Linked DNA regions of Mus musculus: all the other regions are reported to be linked to region 1. Evidence: microRNA targets listed by miRTarBase, many of them from high-throughput screens and not tested one by one. Region 1 holds a microRNA gene; each other region holds the end of a gene's coding sequence.

What was found. Region 1 holds the annotated microRNA mmu-miR-497a-5p (CAGCAGCACACUGUGGUUUGUA, at 3,277-3,298, shown strand). A microRNA usually pairs through its seed, bases 2 to 8, with sites in the 3' UTR of a target mRNA and lowers its output. Matches are read on the target gene's strand: a 7mer-m8 pairs with bases 2 to 8, a 7mer-A1 pairs with bases 2 to 7 and ends in A, and an 8mer does both.
Region 2: miRTarBase lists Pacsin2 as a target of mmu-miR-497a-5p. Seed matches in the 3' UTR shown: 7mer-m8 at 2,523-2,529, 7mer-m8 at 2,526-2,532, 7mer-m8 at 2,529-2,535, 7mer-m8 at 2,532-2,538, 7mer-m8 at 2,535-2,541, 7mer-m8 at 2,538-2,544 and 14 more.
Region 3: the mRNA of Sorcs2 is a reported target of mmu-miR-497a-5p. Seed matches in the 3' UTR shown: 7mer-m8 at 1,534-1,540, 7mer-m8 at 1,537-1,543, 7mer-m8 at 1,540-1,546, 7mer-m8 at 1,543-1,549 and 7mer-m8 at 1,546-1,552.

The regions. Positions count from the first base shown.
Region 1 is chr11:70,231,454-70,236,525 of GRCm38, forward strand. It overlaps Mir497 (microRNA 497), which reads left to right and starts at 3,264; the gene lies at 3,264-3,347. 0610010K14Rik (RIKEN cDNA 0610010K14 gene) reads right to left here. Exons shown (of 6, transcript NM_145758.1): 4 at 4,571-4,758; 5 at 4,243-4,347; 6 at 3,751-4,011. The coding sequence ends at 4,007. It overlaps Mir497b (microRNA 497b), which reads right to left and starts at 3,363; the gene lies at 3,239-3,363. Mir195a (microRNA 195a) reads left to right here and starts at 3,589; the gene lies at 3,589-3,682.
Region 2 is chr15:83,373,155-83,378,226 of GRCm38, reverse strand. It overlaps Pacsin2 (protein kinase C and casein kinase substrate in neurons 2), which reads left to right. Exons shown (of 11, transcript NM_001159509.1): 11 at 497-2,620. The coding sequence ends at 609. Among named protein-coding and RNA genes, the nearest start is that of 1700001L05Rik, 8.4 kb to the right of the region's middle.
Region 3 is chr5:36,014,571-36,019,642 of GRCm38, reverse strand. Sorcs2 (sortilin-related VPS10 domain containing receptor 2) reads left to right here. Exons shown (of 27, transcript NM_030889.2): 27 at 251-2,463. The coding sequence ends at 315. Among named protein-coding and RNA genes, the nearest start is that of Gm52811, 68 kb to the left of the region's middle.

The DNA of each region.
Region 1 (5,072 bases):
CTTTGATGTCAGGACAGAGTTAGCTATTCTGAGTTTTGGGGTGTCACTTGCCATAGAAGTTATTGTAGTCAATAAGGCCTGTTTTTAGTCTCGACAGCTGATAGCAAATTGGAGGTGCGGGGCTGGTTTTAAAGATGTCTTAGTTCGGGGGTTTGGAGGGATTTGATGCTCCCATGTGAGACTGTCCATCTCTAATTTCTGGTCTACTGGGGGAGCATGAGTACGCAACTAATTTGGGGGACATAGTCTCTTTCCAAGTGCTGTTTCAAGGTTTGGATGAGATTGTTTGGGGACATAAAGGTCAACTTGGGGCTTTTTAGAGAGCCCAGTTACATTGAGTTGGTGGCAGAGCCAGAAGCTAGGAGAGGATCTGAAGGCTTTCTGTAGCTGAGAGCTTGATTGATGGGGGGGCAAAGTTTTGTATTTGAATCTTGTGGAAACTCATTTTGAGGGTTGGATATTCCTGTGAACATGTTTATGTGTGAAACTCCTCCACAGGAGAGAATTGAGAAGCCCCCCCAGGGTAGAAGGATAGTTTGGGGGGTATCCAGTTTCTGGGTGTTTTGCCACTGGCCACATTTGGTGAAGCTGAGAGGTGGGTCATAAATTGAAATTGATTTGGAGGTTCACCTATTCTAAAGCACACTTCTGACTTAGGTTATCTTTTGCTGATAGTCCCCTGGCACCCCAGATTGTAAAAAAAATTAGTGAACCCCCAAATAAGGCCAGAATTTGAAGGGTGAAGCCTGGAAAAAGCAGTGTGGTCCATCATAGACTCACTGGAATATGACCTGTTGTGCTAAGGGGGGAAAGGTGGCTTCATACTCTGAACCCCGATTTCTTATGGAAGAAAAAATCCGTTTGGAGGAGATGGGGTGTCTCTTGTTAAAGTGGGTACTTTCTGACTAACAGTGCTGCTGAAACTGGCAAGGAAAGGCTGTGATGGTCTACAAGGGGGGGGTGAATCTTGCACCCTGATATTTTAAGATAAGAGCCCCAAAGAGAAAGCAGACAGAGGATTGGGAATGAGGGTGAACTGAGAGGCGGGGGAGGGGTTTCCAACGGCAGCAGGGGCTAGAGGGTAAGCCAGGCCAGATATTCCCGCCTAGGTCCCTGCTCTCTTCGGCTCTCCTCCCCTCTCTCCCTCCCACCGCCCACCCCCCCAACTCAAGGAAAAAAAAACTGCCTGTGCAATAGCAATGGCAGATTCCAGTCCTCCAGGCTTTCCTAAACCACCACCGAGACCAGCCAGGGGGGAGGGGAGGGGAGGGGAGGATCGGGCTTTCCTGCTTCCTTGAGACAGGGGCAATGAGCTTGACCTCTTGGCCCCTAGCCTTCTAAAGAGTGTCCCCCGGTCTGGAAACCAGGTGTCCTGGACCCTAGCCCCCAAGCGGGGGGGCCTGGAGAAACGGGGAGGAGGAAGGAGGGAGTGACTTCCAAAATTGGCATCGGGACAGAGCAGGGCTGGCGGGAGGCAGGAGAAAGACAGAATTTTCCTGAAAAAACGGGGGTATCTAAGGACCCCAAATTTGGGTAGCTAGTTCAGGACCATCTTCCCAACATCCTAGATTTTTTTGGGATTTTTTGGGGGCCCCGGGATCCCTCTAGATGGGGTGAGGAATGTAGTGTTGGGGGAATCTGACTGGGGCAATGCAGCTGCCTCTCCCGCCGAGTTGGAGACGGATGGGCTGGGACGGGTTTTGGGGGGGTGTCCCCAGTTCTGACTGGGAGTGGAGGAACCCCTCCAGAGCTCTCTTGTGGGGGTCCCCCACCCCAGGGCACTCCCCAGTCCTTGAGCCAGCTGAGAGGAAGGAGGCCAGCGATGCGACTGGGGCGTCTCTTTTCTCCTGCACCCCAAATGTGAGGGATGCACCCCAAAATTTGCTCCTTTCAAAATAGGGGACCAGGATCTCAGGGGAGAGTAGCTGAGGTAAGTGGGGAGGAAAGTGTCCCCTGTTTTCAGGAGAGACGTGGCGGTTGGGGGGGAGGTTTGGAGGTGCGTGCTGGGGTGGGGTTGCGCCTTGTAACTCTTGAAATTGGGGGGATGACCAGAGAAGCTTTCTCTTGTACCCCTAAGACGTAGCACCTCATACTGAAACCAAAGCTTGAGACTTGAGAGCCCCCAATATTCCTACAGACATTAGGACAGTGTTTGCTTTTTTTTTTTTTTAGCCCCACAAAAGCTTTGCTGGGATGGGAGCTGGGGGACAGCAGTTGTTTCTGGGGGTCCAGGAGGGTGCAAGGAGCAGGAGGCGTTGGCAGGGCTTGATATAGGTGATCTGGTAGTCTTGGAGAGGGTCTGGCATACTAGGGGGGCCTAAAAAGATTGCTTCACACACCATCTTAAATCTTTTGATTGCTAAGAGTTTTGGGGGGGTGTGTCGGAAGCCTGGTGGTGCTAAAAGGTGGGATGAGATATGGGAGGTTAATATCTAGGGTTTACAGAGTTTTGTTTTGTTTTGAAATTTCCAGAAGAAACTTTTGCCTTCTGGGAGGTTCTTTTTAAAATCAAGTCTTGGACAGGAGGAAAGGGCTATGGGAAGGCCTAGGGTTGGGGGTGGGGAAAAGGCATGTTTGTCTTTGCTTAAACGTGGCTCTCAGGGGTGGGCCTGCTTGCCTGGGCCTGGTGAATGGGCTAATGAGTGTTGCTGTGTGGGTGGGGCGTGGGTCTTGGGGGACCATGGGGAATGGAAGCAGCACTTGGGGTTGAATACTTTGCCCTCTGGTCCAGATGAGCCTCTTCCTGGGCTCTGCTGCATCCCTTTCTCCCTGGCCTCCATTTCCTGCCTTTGGCCTCCATCTTGTGGCAGGCCCAGGGCCCAGGGCGACTTCCGGCCCCCCTCTCTCAACCGTGTTCCAGCCCCACCACCTCTGGACTGCCAACTCCCAACCCTGCTGTCCTTGGCCCTGTGTCTTCCAGCATTTCTCTTGGGTTCTGACCTAGGGAGGGAGGAATGGACACAGGAAACCTTAGGTCCCTGCCTTTGTGGGAGGCAGTTTGTTGGTCTTCCCCAGTCATCCCGTTTCCTAAGGATCCCCAGAGCTGAATTCCTACAGAGGTGAAGAATGCTCCAAGCTTATCACATTGGACTCATCTGCCAGGGCCCTATCCTTTGCCTGCTAAACTACTTTTGCTGGTTCCTGATTGTTCCCCCCCCCCAGCTTTTTTGGGGGGCCATGTTTGCCATTCACACCTCTGTCTCACTCTAGGTGGGGGTCTTCACGGCACTGCCTGTGCTGTCTTCCTCTCGACCCACCCCAGTCCTGCCCCCGCCCCAGCAGCACACTGTGGTTTGTACGGCACTGTGGCCACGTCCAAACCACACTGTGGTGTTAGAGCGAGGGTATGGGAGGCACCGATGAGCCTGGCCCTGGGAGGCCACCCTGGAGAAGCAACACACACACACACACACACACACACACACACACACACACACCGTCTAGGGTATTGTGATGAAGTTCTTGCAAGGTGGGACAGGAGACACTGGAAAGAGCCCCTCTGCAACCCCCAGGTTGTCTGATACCAGTTATCAGGAACCCTGGTAATGAGTTCTGGCCCCACAGAGCAAAGTAGAGTCTTTGTTGCCCACACCCAACTCTCCTGGCTCTAGCAGCACAGAAATATTGGCATGGGGAAGTGAGTCTGCCAATATTGGCTGTGCTGCTCCAGGCAGGGTGGTGAGAGCTACTGAGAAGGGGCCAAGCCCCGAGGGCGAAGCAGAGGAGAGGGAACGGCAGCTGGCAGCACCATGTTGAGAGAATCTTTTTTAATTATAATTTTCTGTATAAAAATGTCCATCACACAGAAGTCAAAGGGCGAGGGCACATGGTTATCAGGAACGAGGTGGATGGCTCCAGCAGCCCTCTGACCCTCTCTCAGGCAGTCCTTGCTTAGAGTCCCAGGTGATCCACAGGTCCAGGGTGAACAATGAGGGTCAGAGGTGGAAGGCTCAGCAGGAGAGGAGAGGAGCATCAGCGGAGGTGGTGAGGAGGCCAGAGTCCAGGGTCAGGCTGTCTGGAACAGGAAGGAAAACGGACAGAGATGGAGCAAGCGTGGAGGATTTTTCCAAGAAAACCCTCACCTCCTCAAACGCCGTATTACTAACTGACCCATTCCCCTGCACTGAATCTTCCTTCTGAGGCCCCTGCACCAGAAAGGGGTTTTCTGTGGGGACCCTCCCCTACCATCCAGGTGAGTATGTTCCCCACCCCCAGCCAGCGTGGGAGGAGGAGGACTCCTACCCTGGTCAAAGTTGAGTTTCTTGGCTGGAGGAGTTTCTCCTAGCCCTTCGACATCCACCAGGTCACTGTTGGCGTCGGAGTCGTTCAGAGCACTGAGTGTCACATCTGGGAGGGGGCATAGGCTAAGTTCTAGGTTTCCCTGACTGCTGTCTTTCCCTCCTCCCAGTCTGCCAAAGCTTCATGCTCTACACATCCCTCTACCCACTCTGGAATCACCAGCGTACAGAAGAGAAGCGTCTCTCCTTCTTTGACCCAGGCCCAATTCTCTTATTGAATCTCAGATAGGACCTTTAACCCCTACCCTAGGCAGCAACTCCACAGCCCTCACCAGCCTTCTGTTTCTTTATGGGAGGAACCCCAGCTTCAGGGACACTGGAGCTGCTGGGTGGAGGGGCGTTTGGAGGTGAGAGGACACCGGACGTCATCTTCTTGGGTCCTTTCTTGGGTGACTCAGCTGGAAGGGGGATGCCGGAGTCTTCATACACTTTTCGCTTCACAGTGGTCTTTATCTGAGCCCTGAAGATGAGAGAGAGCAGATTAGGGTGTCATCAGAGAAGCCGAGGGAAGAGGGGAGGGGAGGGAATAATGGGCCACTCTGAAGGAATTCTAGGAGTTCCTTTGTAGATATCCAGGTCAAGGCCCCAGTTCATGTGTAATAAGGGTCCTCCCCCCCCCCCCCACGTTCAGAACTTTTGCATCCACTTAGGGCTAATAGATTAAGATGAATGGAGTCCCTGAACTGAGTGGCCAGAAAGGCCCTTTTCATGATCCTCTGGGAGAGATGCATGGTTTTGTAGGACCACCAGGTATGTTGTGGTGACATAAAGGTA
Region 2 (5,072 bases), not on the chromosome of region 1:
ACTCTCTGCTCCTCATATGTTAGCATCTGCTGGTCTCCTTGTCTGCAGATAGAAGTGTCTAGTGAGCAGATATGTTGGCCCCGGTCTCTGCCAGGCCAGTAGTGGCTCAAAGTCCCAGAAACACCTTGAGCCACCGCACAGAATGAAAACATGGGGCATGTTGCCGAGCAGAGCAGCCTAGGACACATGGGGTAGGCACAAGGCTTGAACCTGGAACGGTTCTAGCCTGGACTGCTGCTTGCTCCAGGGTTGCTCTGAGGGCTGCCATCTTCAGATCACAGTGACCTCTGTGTCAGAAGCTTTGAATACAAATTAGTAGTGAATATCCAGGGTCCTGCCTTACCTTCAGGAGGACGCCTGTCCCTCTGCCCTGGAGACCTTCTGTGGATCCTTCTAGAAGCATGTTTCATATCCACATGGGATTTGTATGCACAGATGACTTGCTGTGGTCAGTGTTGCCCCCTGTCACTAAGGCCACCCTCTTTTTGTCTTGCAGGGGATGAACTGACCAAGATAGAGGATGAAGATGAACAGGGTTGGTGCAAGGGACGTTTAGACAGCGGCCAGGTTGGCCTATACCCAGCCAACTATGTCGAGGCTATCCAGTGACAGCCCATGGGCAGGCTGGCGGAGAGACGGAAATGGGCAGTTCAGGAGCTCCGTTAGCCTTGGCCTGGGCAGTGACACCTCTAGTGCCCCCAGCAGCCATGTAGGCATCCACTCCACCTGCAAAAGACGATGGCTCTGTTGTTCTTGGCTTCCTGGTGTGCTTTGAAGGCAGATGAGCTGGTGATTTCATTGGGCACTTGGCCCTTTTCCAAGCACATCTGGGCAGATATAGACACAGGAAGATAGGGTCCAACAGCGAGAGCCAGGCCCCTCCCCACCCCCACCAGCTCTCTCTATCATGGATCTGCACCTTCTCGCCCTTGTCTCTCCTGAGTCATGACGGGTCATACTGATTCTTGTTCCACTGATGATTTTCTCTGATGAGGTCCTATCTGCAAGGTCAATGAGCAGACTTACATGCCATCTTCTGAGTAAAGAGTTTGAGGTTTTAATTTAAAGGCAATGTACAGCTATACTTTTTTATATGCTCTTCCAGTCAGTTAAATTATGGCCTACACTGATCTGAGATGTTCTCCACGTGAGCTGTCTTCATTTCTCTGTGCTATGTCCAGATGTGGGGTTGCTGCAGCCGGGGTTCTATGGCAAGTGCCAGTTGCAGGGCTAACCTTGTGCAACGTTCCCCAACACTTCCACATACAGAAATTATTTTCACTCTATCCCTGCTTCAGTTTTTGCAGATTAACAGTTCTATTAGTGATTTGGAAAGTTAACAGTAAGAAGACTAACTTTTCAAAACAGTTGCATCTGTAGATTAAGATGCTTTACATTAGACCGTTGTGTCTCGATGTATATCTGTATATATTATTTGATAATCAGAAAATCTATAGAGTTCACCCACTGTTGAATGAGAGCTGGTGGCTTCTGACAGCAGATCTGGTCAACTGCTTGAAGCCCATGGCATTGAAGCACAGGCACGGCTGGTTAACGGTGCCCACCCAGTTAGGATGTGGCTCTGGCCTCTGAGTGGAGCTGCTGGGAAGACTGATTCTCATTGGCCTGGGCTCCAAGCTCATGACCGAGCACTGGAAAAGCTCCTAGGACTTGGTAGTAATCGTAGACTTCACAGTCCCTGTGTCACTCACTGGAGAGCTAGAGGGAGGGGTTCGACACCCTCCACCACACACACACACACACACACACACACACACACAAGTTCCTCCAGTTGCCCTTGTCCTCAGGTGCAGTGGGACTGTTGTGAGCCCCAGGGATGGGCACAAAGAGGACTTTTATTTTGTTAGCTCGGACAGTGCAGTGGTGCACATCAGCAACTTGTATTTCTTCGGTGTTTGGCACGAGCACTGTCTCGCTGTGGCTGTGTGTCATGAGAACTTACCAGCAGAAATCCTTGTTCCTAAGCTACAGAATGACCAAAAGCTGTCAAGTCCTTAATGTTTAGAAACTCCTTAAAATGTATAGTATTTTAGAACAACAACAACAAAACTCAATAAACAGTTGATCTTGTGTGTTTGACAGTCCCTTTGCCTTGCATCCACCCTCATGTTCACACAGCTGATAGACCTGTCTCCTTGGGGGTGTACCAGCTTTGAAACTGGGCAAGATCCAGTTCATAGGATCCCTTCTCGGGACCATGTCTCAGTTCCTGCACCAGAGGCTGGGGACTTGGGGCACCTTGGGCATCCCTGAGGAGGGCATCCCTGGTGCCACCCTCTCTCCCCTGACCAACAACCGCTCCTCCCCAAACCTGCGTGTGTTGACCTTTATGTGCCACTGTTCTGTTTTCTCAAGCTGATGATCTCTGGGTGTAATGTGATCAATGCAGGTCCCAGCTGGTCCTGCTCGCACAAAGAACCTCCAAGGATCTTGCCTCCTATTGGGATCAGCTAAGGAGATAAAGCCAGTGCGGTAGCCCTGACCAGTCCCGGTGAACGGACTGCTGCTGCTGCTGCTGCTGCTGCTGCTGCTGCTGCTGCTGCTGCTGCTGCTGCTGCTGCTGCTCTTCAACACTAGTAAAGCTTCTCTCTGGCCTTCCTGCAGTGTCACTTTGCTCAGCAGAAGCAGAGCCTGAGTCTTTGTCCTTTACTCTCTTTGTGTGTCCTCTTTGGGTCCTTTGGGTGTCCTCTGCCCTGCCAGTTTCTGAGCAGTACTTGAGCCTTACCCGCAGGCCACCCGTTGTCTGGGTGGGCGGGCACTGGCTTCTGCCTCTATCTGCTCCAAGCAGCAGAGAGAAAACAAAGTGGGAGAAGGCAGAGGCAGATCTGCCCTCAGCTGACAAGCTGAAAAGTGGGGATATATCTTGAATACCACAGTAAGACTGGGTGTAGGCTGGGGCACCAGGCCAGGTCCTCTTAACACTCCTCTGGCCTGCCGCTGGGTGGCAGGCTGGAGTTAATAGAAAAAAAGGTTTTAGAAGCTGGGCAGGTCAGTGATTTGCCTGGGGCTCTCTGAGCAGACCATAGTCAAAACCCAGCTCTCCTTGCTGTCCTGGGGGCTAGAAGTAGGATGAAATGACCACTCCTGCACGGTCCTTTCTCAACATCTCTATTCAAATAAGGAAGCTTGAGGGTCCTGTACAGCCCTTTTGTTATCTCCTACCCTTCCCTGGAGGTTAAATACAGGAAGCTCACTGTGCACAGTGGCCTCAGTTTTCATAGGAGGATGGGGGTAGGGCACCATAAAACACTACAAGTCCTTGTGGTTATGATCACCTAGGCTGGGGCCAGGACCCTCTGCAGCCTTTGGCTGCTTTTTCTATATCACCCAGCTTGGGATTCCCAGGTTCTCTTGGCCTCCCAAAGCTCCTGCACAGGATCAAAGCTGTTACCACTAGGGCCCCTGAGCTGACTCTAGTGACCAAGCCAGTCAGTCACCAGGGTCTAAGGGAGAGAGTGAGGATTAAAGAAAGAAAAGACAATTAGACAACATTATAATATATGACTCCAACAAGTGCTAAGGCTGAAACAAGTTTAGTTTTTTCCAGTCTGCTTTTATATCATTCTGAGTACATCAAAGAATATGGTCAGTCCTGCCAGGCGTGGTGGCGCATGCCTTTAATCCCAGCACTTGGGAGGCAGAGGCAGGTGGATTTCTGAGTTCGAGGCCAGCCTGGTCGACAAAGTGAGTTCCAGGACAGCCAGAGCTATACAGAGAAACCCTGTCTCGGACCCCCCCCCCCCAAAAAAAAAAAAGATGGTCAGTCCTAAGGCATAAACAAAGTAGTGAAGGAACAAACAAGGCATAAGCAGTTAAGGAACAAAGGTCCCAAGTATTCAGGGTCTTAAGGCTATCAAGATACAATGAACACATTCCTCAGCTGTATTTATCTTGAGCCTACTTCCTTGTCCTAGCCTGATGTCAAATTCTTATCTGAGCCTACTCCTTTGTTCTGGCCCCAATGTAAATACTCTTGCCAAATTCCTAGAAGCCTCCCAAGTGCTCTCTACACTTTAGGTGGAATATTGTGAGCCCCAGACTATACCTGGACAGGAGCTCTAAACCCTGCTCATCTGCACTGTAATGTAAACATGGGGTCTGGCTCTGCTACAGCCCAAGCTCAGACACTGGCCAGAGGTCTATGCAGATGGACGACTTTGCTATCCAAGCCAACCTGCCTCTGCTTGGCTTGGCCTAGCCTTCTCTGAGGAGCCTGTGGGTCTGGGCCATGCAAATGGGTCAGGTTGTTAAGGCAAGCCTGAAGGGGGACTGCTTATACTTCATCTGGATGGGAATAAGGAAGATTTATAAAGGATATTGTAGGCACCATACTAACTCCCTCATGGTTCAGAGGGAAGAGGGAAATTGAGGCCAGATGAGGGGAAGGCAGGACTTGCCAGCAGACATAGCAAGCAGCTAGCAACATATATAAATCAGGTTGCCTCTCCTGGTGGGCAAGAGCTTCATTCATCCACCAGATAGTCAAACACACATAAGCATTTACTGAGTACCTACTGTGTGCTAGATTCCCAACAGCCCAAACCAAATAGAACCAGTTTGTACCCTTGGGAAGGTACCATATCAATCCTTCATGGGGACGAGAATGTCTGGTCGTGTGTGTGGATTCTGGAAGGTTCCAGATAAGAAGACAGGTAGGTGCTCCCAGTCTAGTACTAGATCGGTGAGGCAAAGCACTCCCTGGTTCTTAAACTTTTCCCCAATCCCAGTACAGAGCATCCAGAGTCCTCCTTCCCTCCCTCTCCTCGCTGGACTGCAGAGGACAACACCTCAACACTAGCAAATACCCGAGCCTCATTACTGCAAAGTGAGATCAATTAGGATGACTGTGGGGTGTCTAGGATGTCCAGAAACCAAGAGTCCCAGCAAGGCAGACTCTCTGGGTCATAGCTGTTCTTTGAGCGACCTGCTGTGCCACCACCATCTCTCTCCATGGGCCAAACACTCTCCCCTTTGCCCTCCTGTACAGGATCTTGCCCTGAGTTTTCAAGACAGGATTTCTCCACCCTCTCCATCCATTGTCCAGATACCTT
Region 3 (5,072 bases), not on the chromosome of region 1:
GGTAGCCCTCACACAGGTCAGTGGGTGCCTCACTACACATTCCTCCGGACCACTGCTTGTGGAGGCACCTGGCACTTCCCTCCTGTTACCACATAGGGCACTGGAGACCCCACCTCCACCTGCACCTAGCTGCACAGGCTGAGGGAACCTCACTGCATGTTGGCCCCATGTGCTGCTGAGGTCACCTGTGTTCCTGTGTGGTCTGTTTCCCACCAACCTCACTAATGGGCTGCATTCTCCTGTTCCCTAGGCAACCACTCAGGGGTGGTCCTGAGCATCAACTCTCGTGAGATGCATAGCTACCTGGTGGGCTGATGGCACCAGCTGGCCAGGACACTCTCCTCCTGCTTCCTCCGGAGAGGGCACAGGACCACAACTGCAGCTGGAATGACACACCCTCTGAGACCCGTGGAAAGGCCAACTCCTCTAGCTGTCCCCACTCAGAGGACAGACACTTCTCCCTGTCAGCCCCAGCTGGCCCATGGGATCCTGGGACAGCCGACTCATGACCCACCTGGACACGGGCCTGTGGTGCCACACAGAGTCCCCACCCTTGACTCTGAGGCATCACAGTCCTTAGACCTGAACATGCTGCCCTGGTTACTCCATCTTGCCACTGCAGCCCAGGCCTGGCTTCTCCTGCCTGGGGCTGGACCAGCCTATTTCTGGGGTGAGCCTGCAGCCACCACCACCCCCACTCCAGACTTGTAGCCTGCTCAGCCCTGGCCCCACAGTCCCTGTCCCTGCAGAGGACCCCAGAGTCAGGAAGTCTCTGGGCCAGACCAACCCAACACCACCTTCCAGGAAGCCACTCTCTCCACTGCAGTGTAAATACCTGCCCGGGTAGAGCTATTTGAGTTTGGGGGCTCTTTCTTTTAGCTTTCTGTTTTCAAGGCAGGCAATAGAAGCCATCTTCGATCCATCAGAATCCCACTCTCAGAACCCCTCTTTCAGAATGCCCAGAGCTGGGCCTAGAGGGGCAACTATCTCTCTGATTTTCCCTCAGGGCTACAGGGTTAGAGGCAAGAAAAGAAGGGACCCTTACATGCAATTCCTGCTCCATCCAGCAGGATGTGCCCTTCTACAGCTTCTAGGCTGATGGCTGGCTTCCGGTCAGGTCTGGGCTTTAGAAGAGACTACAGGCCCCAGAAAGGCACATTAGTAGAACACATCAGGCTCTGATGCCCTATGGTTTGAGGAACCCTTGTAAGAACCAACCAGAAGAGGGGTGGGAGGGCAGCATCTCCTGGGAAAACGAACTAGAGGATCCAGAGCCTTGTGGCCCTTTCACGGTCAGAGAAAGAAAGCAGCAGAGGTAGCCCTAGAGTCGCCTGCTGCCTGCTCCTACGGCCAAGTCAGGGACCCAGCACAGGTTGACACTGTGAGCTGGCATCATTCACCTTTTGCCTTGAAACTGAAGTCAGTATTCCCTTCCCTTCCCCTCCTCTTCCATCCTCTCACCTCCAGACTCTTGCTGCCCTACCAGAGAGCCCAGGCTGGCCTGGAGCGAGGCCCGGGTGTCTCAACACCCACTGCTGCTGCTGCTGCTGCTGTTTGGCACACTCACCAGCACCCATCAGTTCTCCCTAAGGAAGAAATGTGACCCATATAGAAGAAGAGGTCTCAGACAGACCCTCACAGGACAGCTCCAGCACTTAGTCTCTCTGTTAAGGACTGGGCTGGGTGTCTGTCTATACGCTCGTCATAGACAGGACAGCACAGAGCAGGGTAGCTATGGGGGGCACAAAGCTGGTCTGTGGGAGTGTCTCAACTGTACCCCAATATCTCTCACTTTCTGCCACTCTCTGGGGCTCAGGGGTCTCTGCAGAGGTAACTGCGGGCTGTCCTCCTTGGGAGGGGCTACAAATGGGACCCTAGTGCCAGTGAAGGTCATGACACTCTAAGACTTTTGCCCCACATACCTTCTTGCTATCTCAAATGAAACCTAAGCAGAGACCTTTTCCCCATCTGTATCCCCACAGCATGGAAGTACCACCCAGTACCACACAGAGGAGATGCTCACACACGACAGTCTCCATAAGGCCCAAGGTCAGCACAGAACCCCTGGACATAGCCCGCCACTTTAGCTCACCAGTGCCTGGGGTGCCTTCCTCGAGCACGCTCTCACTCTCAAGGACACGGGCAGGCTTACCCTAGCTATTTGGGTTTTTTGTTACTATTTCTATTTGAACATTTGGAGCGTATAGACCCAAGATCCTCCCTGTTCTCATCTCCATCACTGCAGATGGCCATGCAGGCACAGGGTTTCCCTGCCTATCAGCTGAGGTGCCGTGCATTATACAGCCAGGGGCAAAAGCCCAGCTCAGGGGCTCATATCACTCTCCACCAGGCCCTGAGCTTACCTGACATGTGGGCATAGCAGAGGTGATGAGTTCTTTGTTTTTCCTTTATATAAAAAAAAGAAACAATAAATCATTTGTGATGCTTTTAACAAAGGTTAAATCAACAGGGTCGGTCTCTGCCTTAGTGTGAAGATCTGCTTTATGCTTTCCGTGTAACATGGCTCACACCACACCCATGAAAACATACATCCCACCTGTACCAAACAAATAGGCTCTGCTCTACCTTAGCATTAAGACGCGATTCATGTTTACCTGTAATACACAGACCACACATACCACCACACACACATTGGCCTCTCACACACCACATCATACATACCACCCCACAACATCACACACACACACACACACACACACACACACACACACACACACAAACATGGTCCATGTCTTAGTCAGGGTTTCTATTCCTGTACAAACATCATGACCAAGAAGCAAGTTGGGGAGGAAAGGGTTTATTTGGCTTACATTTCCATACTGCTGTTCATCACCAAAGGAAGTCAGGACAGGAACTCAAGCAGGTCAGGAAGCAGGAGCTGATGAAGAAGCCATGGAGGGATGTTACTTACTGGCTTGCTCAGCCTGCTCTCTTAAGAACCAAGACTACCAGCCCAGAGATGGTCCCACCCACAGGGGGCCTTTCCCCCTTGATCACTAATTGAGAAAATGCCTTACAATTGGATCTTATGGAAGCATTTCCTCAACTGAAGCTCCTTTCTCTGTGATAACTCCAGCTATGTCAAGTTGACACAAAACTAGACAGTACAATTGACCCCTTGTCAACTTGACACACAAACACACATCACTAGTAAGCCTCAACCCTTACATTCTTACTCATCCCCAAGGTCTAAATAACTTTAAACATCTCACAGTCTTTACATATTCTTAAATTTTCAATCTCTTTAAAATATCCATCTCTTTTAAAATCCAAAGTCTTTTTACAATTAAAAGTCTCTTAACTGTGGGGCTCCACTAAAATATTTTCTTCCTTCAAGAGGGAAAATATCAGGGCACAATCAAAAGCAAAAATCAATCTCCAACCATCCAATGTCTGGGATCCAACTCACGATCTTCTGGGCTCCTCCAAGGGCTTGGGTCACTTCTCCAGCCATGCCCTTTGTAGCACACATGTCGTCCTCTAGGCTCCAGATGTCTGTACTCCACTGCTGCTGCTCTTGGTGGTCATCTCATGGTACTGGCATCTCCAAAACACTGCATGACCCCTTCAGTCCTGGGCCATCAATTGCAACTGAGGCTGAACCTTCACCAATGGCCTTCCATGGCCTCTCACAGTGCCGAGCCTCAGCTGCTCTGCGTGACTCCTTCATGCCTTCAAAACCAGTACCACCTGGGTGACTCTTACACATTACCAAGTCCAGCCACAGCACAAGGTACAGTCTTGGCTATCTCTGGAACACAGCCTCTGTGCTCTCAGAAAACACTTCCCAGAAGATGTCACCTCAATGATGCTGGTCTCTTCTTAATCACCACTAATTTCTAAGCTCCAGCTAACCAGCATCAATAGTTCCAGTAATGCAAAGTTTTTGCTTTAGTAGTTCTGGTATCTTGTTAATCACAGATGATTCTTCAGCCCCAGCTAACCAGAACTACAGAATCTTCACAAAGTAACAATGGCCCTGAAAAGAGTCTTTTAATTTTCCCTCTGAAATTTCACAAGCCAGGCCTCCATCTTTTGCACTGTTCTCAACATTATCTTCCAAGCTCCTACACAACATCCCACAGAGCTCTTAACACCGAATGGATCCAAAGTCCTTCCACAGTCGTCCCCAAAACATGGCCAGGTTGTCACAGGAATACCCTATTCTGCTGGTACCAATTTGTCTTAGTCAGAGTTTCTATTCCTGCACAAACATCATGACCAAGAAGCAAGTTAGGGAGGAAAGGGTTTATTCAGCTTACACTTCCATACTGCTGTTCATCACCAAAGGAAGTCAGGACTGGAACTCACACAGGTCAGGAAGCAGGAGCTGATGCAGAGGCCATGGAGGGATGTTCTTTACTGGCTTGCTTCCCCTGGCTTGCTCAGCCTGCTCTCTTAAGAACCAAGACTACCAGCCCAGAGATGGTCCCACCCACAAGGGGCCTTTCCCCCTTGATCACTAATTGAGAAAATGCCTTACAGTTGGATCTCATGGAGGCATTTCCTCAATTGAAGCTCCTTTCTCTGTGATAACTCCAGCTGTGTCAAGTTGACAAAAAACTAGCCAGTACAGTCCATATCTACCTTAGTGTGAAGACGTGGTTAGTTCCTCTATACCACATGTACCACAACCTCACTACACATATACCATACCATACACCCATGCATCAGGGAAAATGCCAGCCTAGGGGGTTTCTGGGTTCGTTCCCTGGCACAGACAGATAACGGAACTCATCAGAGAGCAGAAGAGCATGCCATGGAGAGAGTGAATGTACCTTGTGAGGGGAAAGACCTAGGGCTGGGAGTCCCTAAACAAACACTGAGTTGGGTGTTTTCTAGGCCCCTTGGTTACTCCCGTTTACTTATTGGTCCTCCTGTGCCTTCCCAATGTTTCTTCTCACAATGAATTCTGGGAACAAGAAGCTGCCATCCCAGAGAGCCTGCTCTTGATTTATCAGTTTACTTCTGGCCCTTTAACTCTCTTTCATTTCCCGCCTCTCAGAGATGTTCAACAAACGTTGGCGTGGTGGGAGAGCAAGGACTTCTCT